Linked DNA regions of Macaca mulatta. The protein of the gene in region 3 interacts with the protein of the main gene of each other region in a biochemical or structural test. Links are inferred from orthologs where the notes say so. Each region holds a gene or a part of one and is shown on either strand. Other genes may lie near its edges.

Region 1 (3,653 bases), on a different chromosome or scaffold from region 3:
AACATCCTCCTTGGTATGTGCTGTAGTGGGGAGTATACGTGGACTTACATCCATTTTTGGAGGCACTACAGGTTTGTCATCTGGGTTAACTGAAGAGCTAAAGTTCTCAGCAGATTTTACAACTCCAGTTGGCTTGGTTTTAGGCAGTTTCTTGGAACGTTCATATTGTTCTTTGGCTTGAAGCCACACTTGAACCAGTTGTCGACTTGGGGCACATTTGCAAGGCATAATCACAATTTTTTTATCTTCAACCATCTTAGGGCTATTACTTGACCCTTTATTGACAACTCCTTGGCCACTGCGAAGGGGTGACCCTGGCCTTGGATTCTGAGTCATTGCTGAGAATGCTGTTTTCCAAAGACGAAGTCCTTCCAAGGAAAAGTCTCCCTCAAACTCAGCCAGATCATTTGCAAGTCGAGTTTCTACCATGAGGAGCCGTCCACCAATCTCCCTATAAACAACATATTTTAGAACAACTGTTTTGTTTCAAAGAGCAATTACTAAAATATTTAACTCCATATCCTAGATAAAGTCCCTTTTGGAGTCTCAAAAATGTCCATTTCTATCTTCCCTGCCCCCTCTATTTTATGTAGGTACACTCTATCTTTAGTCTCAATATGCTTTTCCTCACAGGTATATGACTACTTAATTTCCTTTGGAAGGTACCATTAATCTTAGGGAGAGAAGGTATTTTTTGTTTTATTTTAATGCCCAATGAAGCCTTCTGTCCTTCAAGGAGATGAAACAAACTTTTCAGATTCCTTTCCTCTCCTAATATTAAAGTAATTTTCCATTATTACCACATATGAATAAAAACAATAAAGTAATTTATCATTCAAATACTATGTCCTAGGATATTATTCATAGCTTCTTCCTATATTCTCCAGTATTTGTAGTTTAGCAAAGCGAGTCAATTCAAATGAATCTTCGTACTCTCAAATCCCTTAAACATTAAAAAAACATACCAACTGAGGTAAATTATCTAATTCTTTCTTCCCATTCCATGGTAGGGATTAACATTGACATAACTTAGGAGATGGCAGAGCCCACAGGATACATGGCTTAAATGTTACCAATGTATGAATATGTGGGAAATCACTAATGAAAACAGTCTGGTTTCATTTCCAAAAGCTATAAATATTAAGTAAAACCTCTTTCTCTAATCCCTTGATACTATTTCTGCTTACTACAGCAACATAAAATAATTCTACTTCTTCATGTTAACTTTATTATGGATATAAAGATAATTCATAGTTTTTTCAATCACTTCTCTTAGGGTGTGATTCCCCAAATGTCCCCATCATTCTCTACATAAAACTCCACTAACTAGATTCATGTTTTCAGATCTGAAGCTGAAGGAAAAGCATTAGGGCTACCCTGTCTCCTTTATATGAAAAGACTTTAGCCCCTACTAGTTAACTCCATAACCAGCATCCAGCACTGTCCCTGCATCCACTCTTGGCAATGTGAAAAATCAGAAACAGAATTATGATTGGTGTTGAAGAATTAATGCTGTTGAAGGAAATGAATACACATACCAAGTGACCATACCCAACTCTAATACTAAGGATAGAGAAGTCATAATGAGGTCAAGAATAAAAAATGGTGAGGTGTGGTGAATTCAGTTTTCTTACGTACTGTCAGCAGCATGGTAATTGCTATAATTCACTAGGAAAAAAAATCTCCTAATATGTAACAAGAGTCTTATATTTTCCAGTAATCCTACTTCTAGGGCTATAAGGACAAACTCCAAAATACAAGAAATGCTTTAAGAAGAAAATGCTAATATCTTCTTAACATACATAATAATATACATACTATCTATAGTGGCAAAATCACAAACAATCTTTCTGTCCAATAATATATACATGATGCAACACATGCAGCGATTAAAATATTCAAGAAACTCATTTGGAAAATGTTTACAATATAATGTTAAGTGAAAAATGTGGATAATACTGTGACTACAATAAGATCACACTTCACAAAACAAAACAAACTAAAAACTATACTTTTAAAGAAAACAGAAAACACATCAAAATATTATGGTGGCTGTTACTATATGGAAAAATGGTGTAATTTTTATTTCTTCTTCTTTCATACTACCTAAATTTTCTATATTGAATATATAGTTTCTTTTTTTTTTGAGACAGAGTCTTACTCTGTCACCAGGCTGGAGTGCAGGAGCGTGATCTTAGCTCACTGCAACCTCTGACTCTCTGTTCAAGCGATTCTCCTGCCTCAGTCTCTTGAGTAGGGATTACAGGCACATGCCACCATGGTCAGCTAATTTTTGCACTTTTAGTAGAGACGGGGTTTCACCATGTTGGTCAGGATGGTCTCGATCTCCTGACCTCGTGATCCGCCTGCCTTGGTCTCCCAGAGTGCTGGGATTACAGGCGTGAGCCACTGTGCCCGGCCTACAGTTTCATATTTTAAAAAATATTTTTCAAAAATGATTATTTTTTATTTTAGCTGTAGGACAAGTGTCAAAGTTGGACAATAACAACACAAACATAATGACTAGCACATAGTTTGGTAACTAAAAGTAAATATACCATAATCACTACTGATAACACCAAAGTCCCCAAAATGATGGAAACTAATGTTTAAGGAACAGACTTCATATGCCCCAGCAGTGAAATAAAGAGTTCCATGTGGGTACTAAACAAAACTGTGTTGAAAAGGGGCTGGGAGGTGAACATTTCTACCCTTCACTTCAAGTCATTATAGGAGAGAACTTTTATTCTACATTTCTGATAACATTTTCTCACCCCTTTATTAAAAAAAATAAATTTTTATCATGTATATTTAAGGTATAAAATATGATATAGTATATAGTAAAACGGTTCTTACCGTGAAACAAATTAACATATCCATCATTTCACACTCTCACCCCTTTTTTAAATGGATTCCTATAGGAATTACTGTGAATCTGCTGGGTAAAAGCCTGGCATTCACTGTCGTGTTTTTTTAATTTAAATTTTTTTGAAGATATTTTAACAGCTTTAGGTTGACAGCAAAATTGAAAGGAATGTACAGAGGTTCCCATATACTCCTTGTGTGCCCACACATACATGCCCTCCCTCATTATCACCATCTCCTACCACAGTGGTACACGTGTTACAATCAATGAACCTATTTTGACACATCGTAATTGCCCAAAGTCCATAGATTATATTTGGGTTCGTTCTTGGTGTGGTACTTTCTATGGCTTTCAACAAATGTGTAATATTCATATTGTATCTTTCTTTTTTTTTTTTTCCACTGGAGTCAGGAAGATGGTGCTGCCACAGGTCAGTGCATACATGCAGTGTGGCCTCTGCTGCTCTTCATATCTCTTTCCAAGATTTAGACTAAGGCAGGGCCTGCCTTAGCAGTTCCAGCCATCCTCTTCTGCTTCTGAATGGATGGTTGAAATGAACTGCCTGCTCTGCAACTGTTTAAGTATATGAGATCATGGACACAGGGGCAGGAACAAGAACCATCATTCAAACTTTCTGGATTAAGCCACGTTACCCAATTTAGCTTTTATCAGTTATGTCCTAACTTGGCGATGAAAGTGGTACACAATTACTCAACTACAGATAAATAAACCACTACTGTGATTTCTATTTTGCTATTTGCTGCATGTGTGCGTGTGCTCACATGTT
Region 2 (3,753 bases), on a different chromosome or scaffold from region 3:
TTAATGTTTTCAATTTTATTAGCTATCTAATAAAAGCTTCATATAGAAGAACATGATTTATAGTAAGCTTTTGAAGTAGAGAAATGAGCTGTTGCATTTTATTACTCTACATCAATCCAGTACTTCTGTAAATTCGATTCTCCAGGACAGAACCTCCTAGAATAAGATGGGGTCATTTGCGATCTGTCAGTGAGTGAAGGTACAGTAAATGCCTCTGCAAACAGAGAAGATAACTTGGCATTTTAAAGAGCTTCCTACTTTGAAAAGATTTGAAGCACTTGAAAACATACTTTTAGGCTGGACACGTTGTCCCACATCTGTAATCCCAGCACTTTGGGAGGCCAAGGCGGGCAGGTTGCCTGAGATCAGGAGTTCGAGACCAGCTTGGACAGCATGGTGAAACCATGTCTCTACTAAAAATACAAAAATTAGCAGGTGCCTATTATCCCAGCTACTCGGGAAGCTGAGGCAGGAGAATCACTTGAAGTCTGGAGGCGGAGCTTGCAGTGAGCTGAGATCGCACCATTGCACTCCAGCCTGGGCAACAAAGTGAGACTCCATTTCAAAAAAAAAAAAAGCTTTTAAAAACTGGTTCCATAGCAATGCCCTGAGAGTTTGGGAGGGGGCAGTAGTTAATTTGGGATACGAGGAGGATCAGAGTGATGGAGTAAACTTCCCCGGGACAGGCACACCTTTCTTGTCTCCATCTAAGTCTCAAGGGTGAGGGAGAGAGAGCGGCACCTTTAGGTTTGTCTGAGATCACAGTGGTGAGGTGCATCCAGGAGTAAAGGTAGAGAAATAGAGGCCCCGCAGTGTGAGAGTGGATGTTGATTGCTTTGTGTGTTGAAGTGAGGAGTCAGCATTTAATTGTTGGCTTAGGATTGTTCTCAAGTAGTGGATTTGGTTTGCAGGTTCTGGGACAGGGTAGGACGTATGTTGGAGAGCTCAAGACCCAGAAATCCAATGTTATTTTGCAAAGGGAATTTTACAAGCAAAGTTTTCTGAGCCTGGAAGACACTTAGGAATCTTTTCCAGTCATCTCATTTTATAGACTGGGAAACCAACATCTAAGGAGATGAATGGATTTGCCCAAGGTAATGTAGCAAGTGGCCCTCCTGGGACTCTAACTCGTATCTCCTCTCAGTCTGAGGTTATTTCTCCTATGTCTTCTTAAGGCATGTTTTACACCTTCTGCCAGACTAGTCATGTCAGGCTCACAGTCACAGCACTCCACACAATGCTGACTGCCGTATCCTGCCTGGGTGCTCTCGTTCTTAGGACGGCCCCTGAGTAATGGGGTGCTCTTAAAGGCAGCATGAGAGGTTCAGCAAGCATTACAGGTCTTCACGCCAGTGAGGGCCCAGGCCACAGGACGGACAGTAATAAGTCAGAACTGGGAGAGGAGGAGTGGATTTTTAATCAGGGAAAAGTTTTCAACACAGAAAGACCATCCCTTTTGGAATGAGGATTGCAAATAGATTGCCTGAGGGGAGAAGTACGTAATCAGAAAGCATTCTTTGTTTATTAACTCCTGCCCAGCAAAAGTGAAAGAAAATTCATGGGAGCATGCAAGAACAAAGGGCACAGCAAAGCTGGACAAACACAGCAATCCAGGAGGGGATTTCCAATTCAACGCTGGTATATAAGCTGGAGTTAAAATCCTTTTTCTGTCTCTGGTTTCTGGCCCCTTGACTGCAAAGATGGCTCCCAATGCTTCCTGCCTCTCTGTAAGTTGGGATTTGATAAAGGGGATGGGGAAAGGAAAAGCACTTTCAAGAGTTGGGGAGAGATCTTAGAAACGGGGGATGGACAGTACTCAGGGCTCTGGGTGGCTGGGCAGGCATCCTTAAGGGGAAGAGGCTGGCATTGACATTTGCAGAATGGGAAGAGGGATTGTCTGAAGAGAAGCTGGTTATCTGGCTTCTGTGTTCTTTTTTTAATCAAACATTGGACTAGCTACTCTTAGGGATAAATGGTAGAAAAAAAAAGTGGGGGTGAGCTTTGTGTTCCACAGGGCTGGTGAGATTTGAAATTATGGAAACATTTTTTAGGGTTCTTAAACTTAATCTTCTCTTTCCTCTCAAAGGAGAGCTTCACAAAACTCATTTATCTGAAGTTGTTAATGATCTAACACATTACATTATATAAGAAAGTATGCACTATGGAGAGAACCTGGAATTAAGGCAATGCTTAACACAGATCCTCCAGTGAAGAAATGTCTGCAATATCTAGATTGGGAAAATATTTCTGAATGGAGTATGAGGGAGGTCTTCTCAGGCTTTCAAGTGGCCATTAGGAGTGAGTTTTCCAGTCTTTTAGGGTTTTCCAGCTATTGAAGTAAGACTTAGACATAGTCCCTACCTTCTGTGAGTGAGGCCTTGGTCTAATCAAAGGAGATCGTATTCTATATTAGATAGATATAAAAATACAAGAAATATAAATTAACAAGAAACATTGAACGTAGTGTCACTGTAATATGTAAGTTATTATTGTAAAGCAGTGGGAGATTAGAAAAAAAAATAACAGTTCAGTGATTATGTGCCCTACCCAGGATTTCCTTCTGAAGTATTGACAGAGGGTATCCTATTGCTGTATCTTATGAGGCTGTCATATTTTAGAAATTCTCTTTGACAGTTGTTTTTAGAGTCTGGTGTACATCTTTTGAAGCTCTGTATTTACTTTTTTGACATTTGACAAACTTTATCTGGATAGGAGAGGCAGGTAAATAAGGTGGAAAACCTTTAATTACATCTCGAGATGAATAAAGGTATGTTTTTTACATCTATTGAAATGCACAGAAAAGCGAAATAAAAAATTGTCAACTAAAAAAAATCACACAATTTATAAATTTAGAAAGGAGACTTCATTTCTTATGAAGGGTTATAGTCTGCAAGGTAGCCATTCTAACAAGCTGAGAAGCTCGGCTTCTGGTTGAAAACCAAAAGCAAGCTTTGTAGGAGGAAAGTGACACAGGAATTTATGCTGAAGGGGTTTGCTAAGTATACATATCCAATAGGTTATGGCAGAGGCAATGAATATTCATGAAGGGAGTCCTAATGCATGCATGTTGAATAAGCTTGCATGTTATATACCACCCATGGTCACTCTGAGGTGGAGACTTAACATTTAATTGCATTACAGTTAGGCCTTATACATGAAAAGGCGAAGCAGGGACACAAAGGCATTCAAATGTGCAGCTTCTGTAGACTAGCCAGAACCAGTCCATGGTCAGTGGTCTCTTATCAGGAGAAAATTACTGAAATCAGTCATTTGTCCAATTAAAACTGTAGTTATGGCTTGAGGAACAGGGGGTCAGTTAGCCTATGGATGAACTGTAATTGTTTTAATATTGTTCCTCTCGAGGCCAGTGCTTGTTTAGCTGCTACAGAAAAAAGAAAAATACTTTGTGGCAGTTAGAACATAGTTTATTCTTTAAGTGTAGGGATGCATGACTTAACTCTTGCCTATTATAGCCTTAGGTCTTGTTTAAAATTTGCTACAAAAATCTTATTGCCACCAATAATCCATTCTTTCAGTCTTATAATCTCTAACGTTGCTAGTCAGTTGTGTCTAAACTGCAAAAGGGAGAAGATATAATGAGGCATGTCCAGCCTCCTGTTTCATCATGACTGAGGTATTTTATTTATTTATCTTTTTGAGACAGAGTCTCACTCTGTTGCCCCAGCTGGAGTGCAGTGGTGCCATCTCCACTTACTGCAACCTCTGCCTTCTGGGTTCAAATGATTCTCATGC
Region 3 (3,753 bases):
GAAAATTTACTGGGTCAAGTCAGCCTGCAACCTATCACACCCATCCCTTACTCTTCAAACTGATCAAAACATGATATACAACACTGTACAGGCAGAACTCTAAGCCAGTTCCCCACATTCCTGGCCCCTAGAGAGCACACCTACATAATCCCCTCCCCGGAGTCTGGGTAGGAAAACTACAAATATGAGCAGATATCACTTCTGGGACTAGGTTCATCAAAAGGGAGATGTGACTGGGTCTGACTTAATCAGGTGAGCCTTTAAAAGGGGCTGGGGTCTCCCCGAAATCACAGAGATGGGAAGTGTGAGAAGGCTTGTGGAAGGGCTAGCTGACAAACATAGCTGGCCTCTGGCCAACAGCTGGCGAGACAAAATGGACCTCAGTCCAACAACCCCAAGGAAATTCCGCCAGAGGGCTTAGAAGGACCCCAAACCTCAGATGAGATCCCACTTGCAGACCCTTCGATTTCAACCTTGTGTGACTGAGCAAAGCAGTCAACAATGCCACGTCCAGACTTCTGACCTACAGGACTGAGAAAACGAATAGGTGTTGTTTTGAAGTCACTGATGTGTGGTAATTCGTTATGCAGCAAACGGAAAACTAACAACACTCAAGTATTTCTCTTATAATGTCTGGCAGATATGAGAGTTTTTCAGGCGTCGTTTTACAAATATCTTCCTAGCTGCTTTAAGAATAAACTTCTTTCAAAATGGACATGAACATTAATTGTGCAATATGTCCTTAATAATTCTCACCCTTTTCAATGAAAAGTCATTGAGTTTGGTGAGTCAAGATTCATTGAAAAATTCTTCAATGTTGATGGGCCTCTTTGGTGAGGTGACCTTATTCCTGTCCTGCCCCCTAAGGGTGGGCAGGGTGGACAGAACGCAGCCTGGACTTCCGGATGCAGCCCCCTACCGCCCGACTTGCCTACCCCGCTGGCCTCGGAGGGGTGGCCCTAAGCCCAGGACAGACGTGGACAAAGGGCAGAAAAAAGGATGCAGTTCTCTTTAATCCCTAACCCAATTTCTCGGGAAAAGCCGCGCTCCCACACAGAAGGCGAACCCTCTAAAGCTGTGGGTTGGCTGCTGTGCACGTAGTCGCTTTAGGAATTCCCAAAGCATCTAGCGGAAGTTTAGATCTTTCACTAGGGGTCACATGGGCCAGTACGGGCGCAGCTGGCAAACCGTTCCTTTCAGTTTGAAAGTATCTTTGAAACTCGGAAACTGTGCTCCTTGGTCTTTCAGTTCATAAGCCTAGAGAGCGGCTACTGAAATTGGAATCGACATCTTCTTCCCTCGGCCCCAACTAGTAAACCACGACCAGAAGACACAGCCTAACCTAAACCTACCGGAGTGTCACAACCGGCAAGCGCGAGCAGGTCCACCAACTCCGCCTGCGCAAACCGGCCGTTCCCGCGAGATCGCAGGAAGGCGGAGAGAAAGGGCAGGGCCCCGCCGCGTGGGGCGGGGCTTAGAGGCTCGTCGCGCCTGCGCAGAGGACCGGACAACGCGCTGCGTCGTTACTTTTGAAACGCTTGGCGGGGAAGTGCTGTGGGAGCCGCTGTGGTTGCTGTCCGCCGAGTGCAAGTGCGTGCCTTTGTTTGTGTCCCTGGCCATGGCGCTGCAGCTCTCCCGGGAGCAGGGAATCACCCTGCGCGGGAGCGCTGAAATCGTGGCCGAGTTCTTCTGTAAGTCCTCGCGCCGGCCATTATATTGGGGGGAACTGAGTCGTGGCGGCTCAGTAGGCCCACAGCTCGGCCTCTGAGACCGGAGAAGTAATCTGGGAGCGGCGGCTGCAGGCTGTTCCTCCTGACGCGTTGCTATAACGTGGAGCTGCAAGCCTGCGTGCTGCTGGGGCCTACCTCGCGGCGTAGCCTCTTCCGGAGCGTTTCTTCCTTTAAGTGCAGATCCGTCCCACCTCCCACCCCTTACTTTCCGATACAGGACACAGCGTGACTGGGGTGGGTCCCAGTGTGGGTGTGTATGTGTGTGTTTTTTTTAACTGCGAGAGCACCCTCACCCTCCCACTCTAAGTGATTATTAGGCATGAGGCTGGCGGTAAACAAGATTTTGGGAACCCTTGTTCTCGAACAGGCCAGCTGCACGTTGTAAAGGAACCTGGCAGGATTTGGGAGGGAAAGGGGAAGATACAGGCTTGTCTGGAGCAAAGTGACTATTCAGTCAGTTGCTGACTCGAATGCAACAGCCTATTTTGACATCCTCTAGCCTCATAATCTGAATTTGGACTTGGATTACAATGAGGTGAAATTTGGCAATAGTAGGTTGATACACTTTGGCTTTTTTTTTCCTTGGCACGTGAAAACAATTATCTTTTTTTACTTAGATACAAGACTTTTAAGGATTTTTAATGCCACTTTGTACCTACTCTGCTTTCAGCAAGATACACGTGTGTTCAGTCATTTATAGCTGTATAGCCTAATGAAAATATAGCCACATCCAAATATATTTTATTTTCCAGAGTTATGCAGTGATAATGAATTTTCTGTAACATTTCTTTTGCTTGCAGCATTCGGCATCAACAGCATTTTATATCAGCGTGGCATATATCCATCTGAAACTTTTACTCGAGTGCAGAAATACGGACTCACCTTGCTTGTAACTACTGATCTTGAGCTCATAAAATACCTAAATAATGTGGTGGAACAACTAAAAGGTATTTAATCATTGGAAATAATTTGAGTCTTGCAGATTTTTTAGCATCTCAAGTGGTCATTTTTCCGCTCTGCAAATAGAAGTGTACTCACATCTCAAATATATTTTAAGTTGAGAGGAAGCAAATAATATATAAAATGGAAGAAATTCACTCTTCCCCCACTACATTGTGAGTGGGCTGAATATTTTGATGTAAGAAATCTGATATGGCTGAAAAATAGTCTTCATCAACTCCCTTAGAAGTGGCTTTCGCAGTTAATGTGGCCAAATGGAACAGGTTGGAATTTTACATAATTATAATGGTGTTCACTATCTGAGAAAATATACACTACATATTCTCAATATAATGTATTTTCTGTAACTAATTAGTTTTCTGTAGTCTAATGTTATCATTAGATTAATATCAAGGAAATTGGATTCAACCAGATAAACTTCAAAAAAAGAAAAAGATTAGCTGCTAAATGACAGAACACTCACAGTTTTTTTGTTTGTTTGTTTTGTTTTTCACATATTTCTGTTTGTCGTTTTCAAAAATTCTGCCGGTGATTCAGTAAGCCTTTTCTGTCTGAACGTTCGTTTTTCTTTAGTTCGAGAAATTGCTGTATTACCTGTCGGGTGAATACTTGTTCTTCATCTATTTCTTTTTCCTTTCTAGAATTCCTGTTAGTTTCTCTTTCTTGTTACCCTCCACTTAGGATTCTCATTTCTAATTTTTCAAATGTTTCTCCCATTTGATCTTCTAAAATTTTTGAAAGTACTACAGTGGGCATCTTTTTTTTTTTTTTTTTTTTTTTTAGAAATTATTTCTTTTGTTGTTGACCAGAAATGTGTCTTTGTTTTGCCGTTTTTATTGCATTTTTACTAACCTATTTTTAATATGCCCTTCCGATAATGGCCATGTGAACTTTTTTAGCTTGATAACTCTCTTTCAACCTATACTATCCTCTAGATAAACTGTTAACATTGCCTTGCCTTTTATGTGTACAGGAGTGGAATGCCTCAACAACCTGTGGATGTTACGTCTTAAATTGACAGGCAAGGGAAGATAGCCCTGTTGACATTTTGGCCTGGATATTT

What was found.
Region 1: the proteins of MAD2L1 (region 3) and REV3L form a complex in vitro, tested with the Homo sapiens proteins (2 studies listed by BioGRID). The link is inferred for Macaca mulatta from reciprocal best matches to the Homo sapiens genes MAD2L1 and REV3L.
Region 2: the proteins of MAD2L1 (region 3) and UBD form a complex in vitro, tested with the Homo sapiens proteins (2 studies listed by BioGRID). The link is inferred for Macaca mulatta from reciprocal best matches to the Homo sapiens genes MAD2L1 and UBD.

The regions. Positions count from the first base shown.
Region 1 is NC_133409.1:16,441,582-16,445,234, forward strand, and holds part of REV3L (DNA polymerase zeta catalytic subunit), read right to left. Parts: intron 452-3,653; coding exon 1-451. UniProt on the Homo sapiens protein: Catalytic subunit of the DNA polymerase zeta complex, an error-prone polymerase specialized in translesion DNA synthesis (TLS). Lacks an intrinsic 3'-5' exonuclease activity and thus has no proofreading function.
Region 2 is NC_133409.1:153,782,423-153,786,175, forward strand, and holds the start of UBD (ubiquitin D), read left to right. Parts: upstream 1-1,334; 5' UTR 1,335-1,700; coding exon 1,701-1,727; intron 1,728-3,753. UniProt on the Homo sapiens protein: Ubiquitin-like protein modifier which can be covalently attached to target proteins and subsequently leads to their degradation by the 26S proteasome, in a NUB1-dependent manner.
Region 3 is NC_133410.1:128,907,364-128,911,116, reverse strand, and holds the start of MAD2L1 (mitotic spindle assembly checkpoint protein MAD2A), read left to right. Parts: upstream 1-1,543; 5' UTR 1,544-1,618; coding exon 1,619-1,691; intron 1,692-2,530; coding exon 2,531-2,677; intron 2,678-3,753. UniProt on the Homo sapiens protein: Component of the spindle-assembly checkpoint that prevents the onset of anaphase until all chromosomes are properly aligned at the metaphase plate.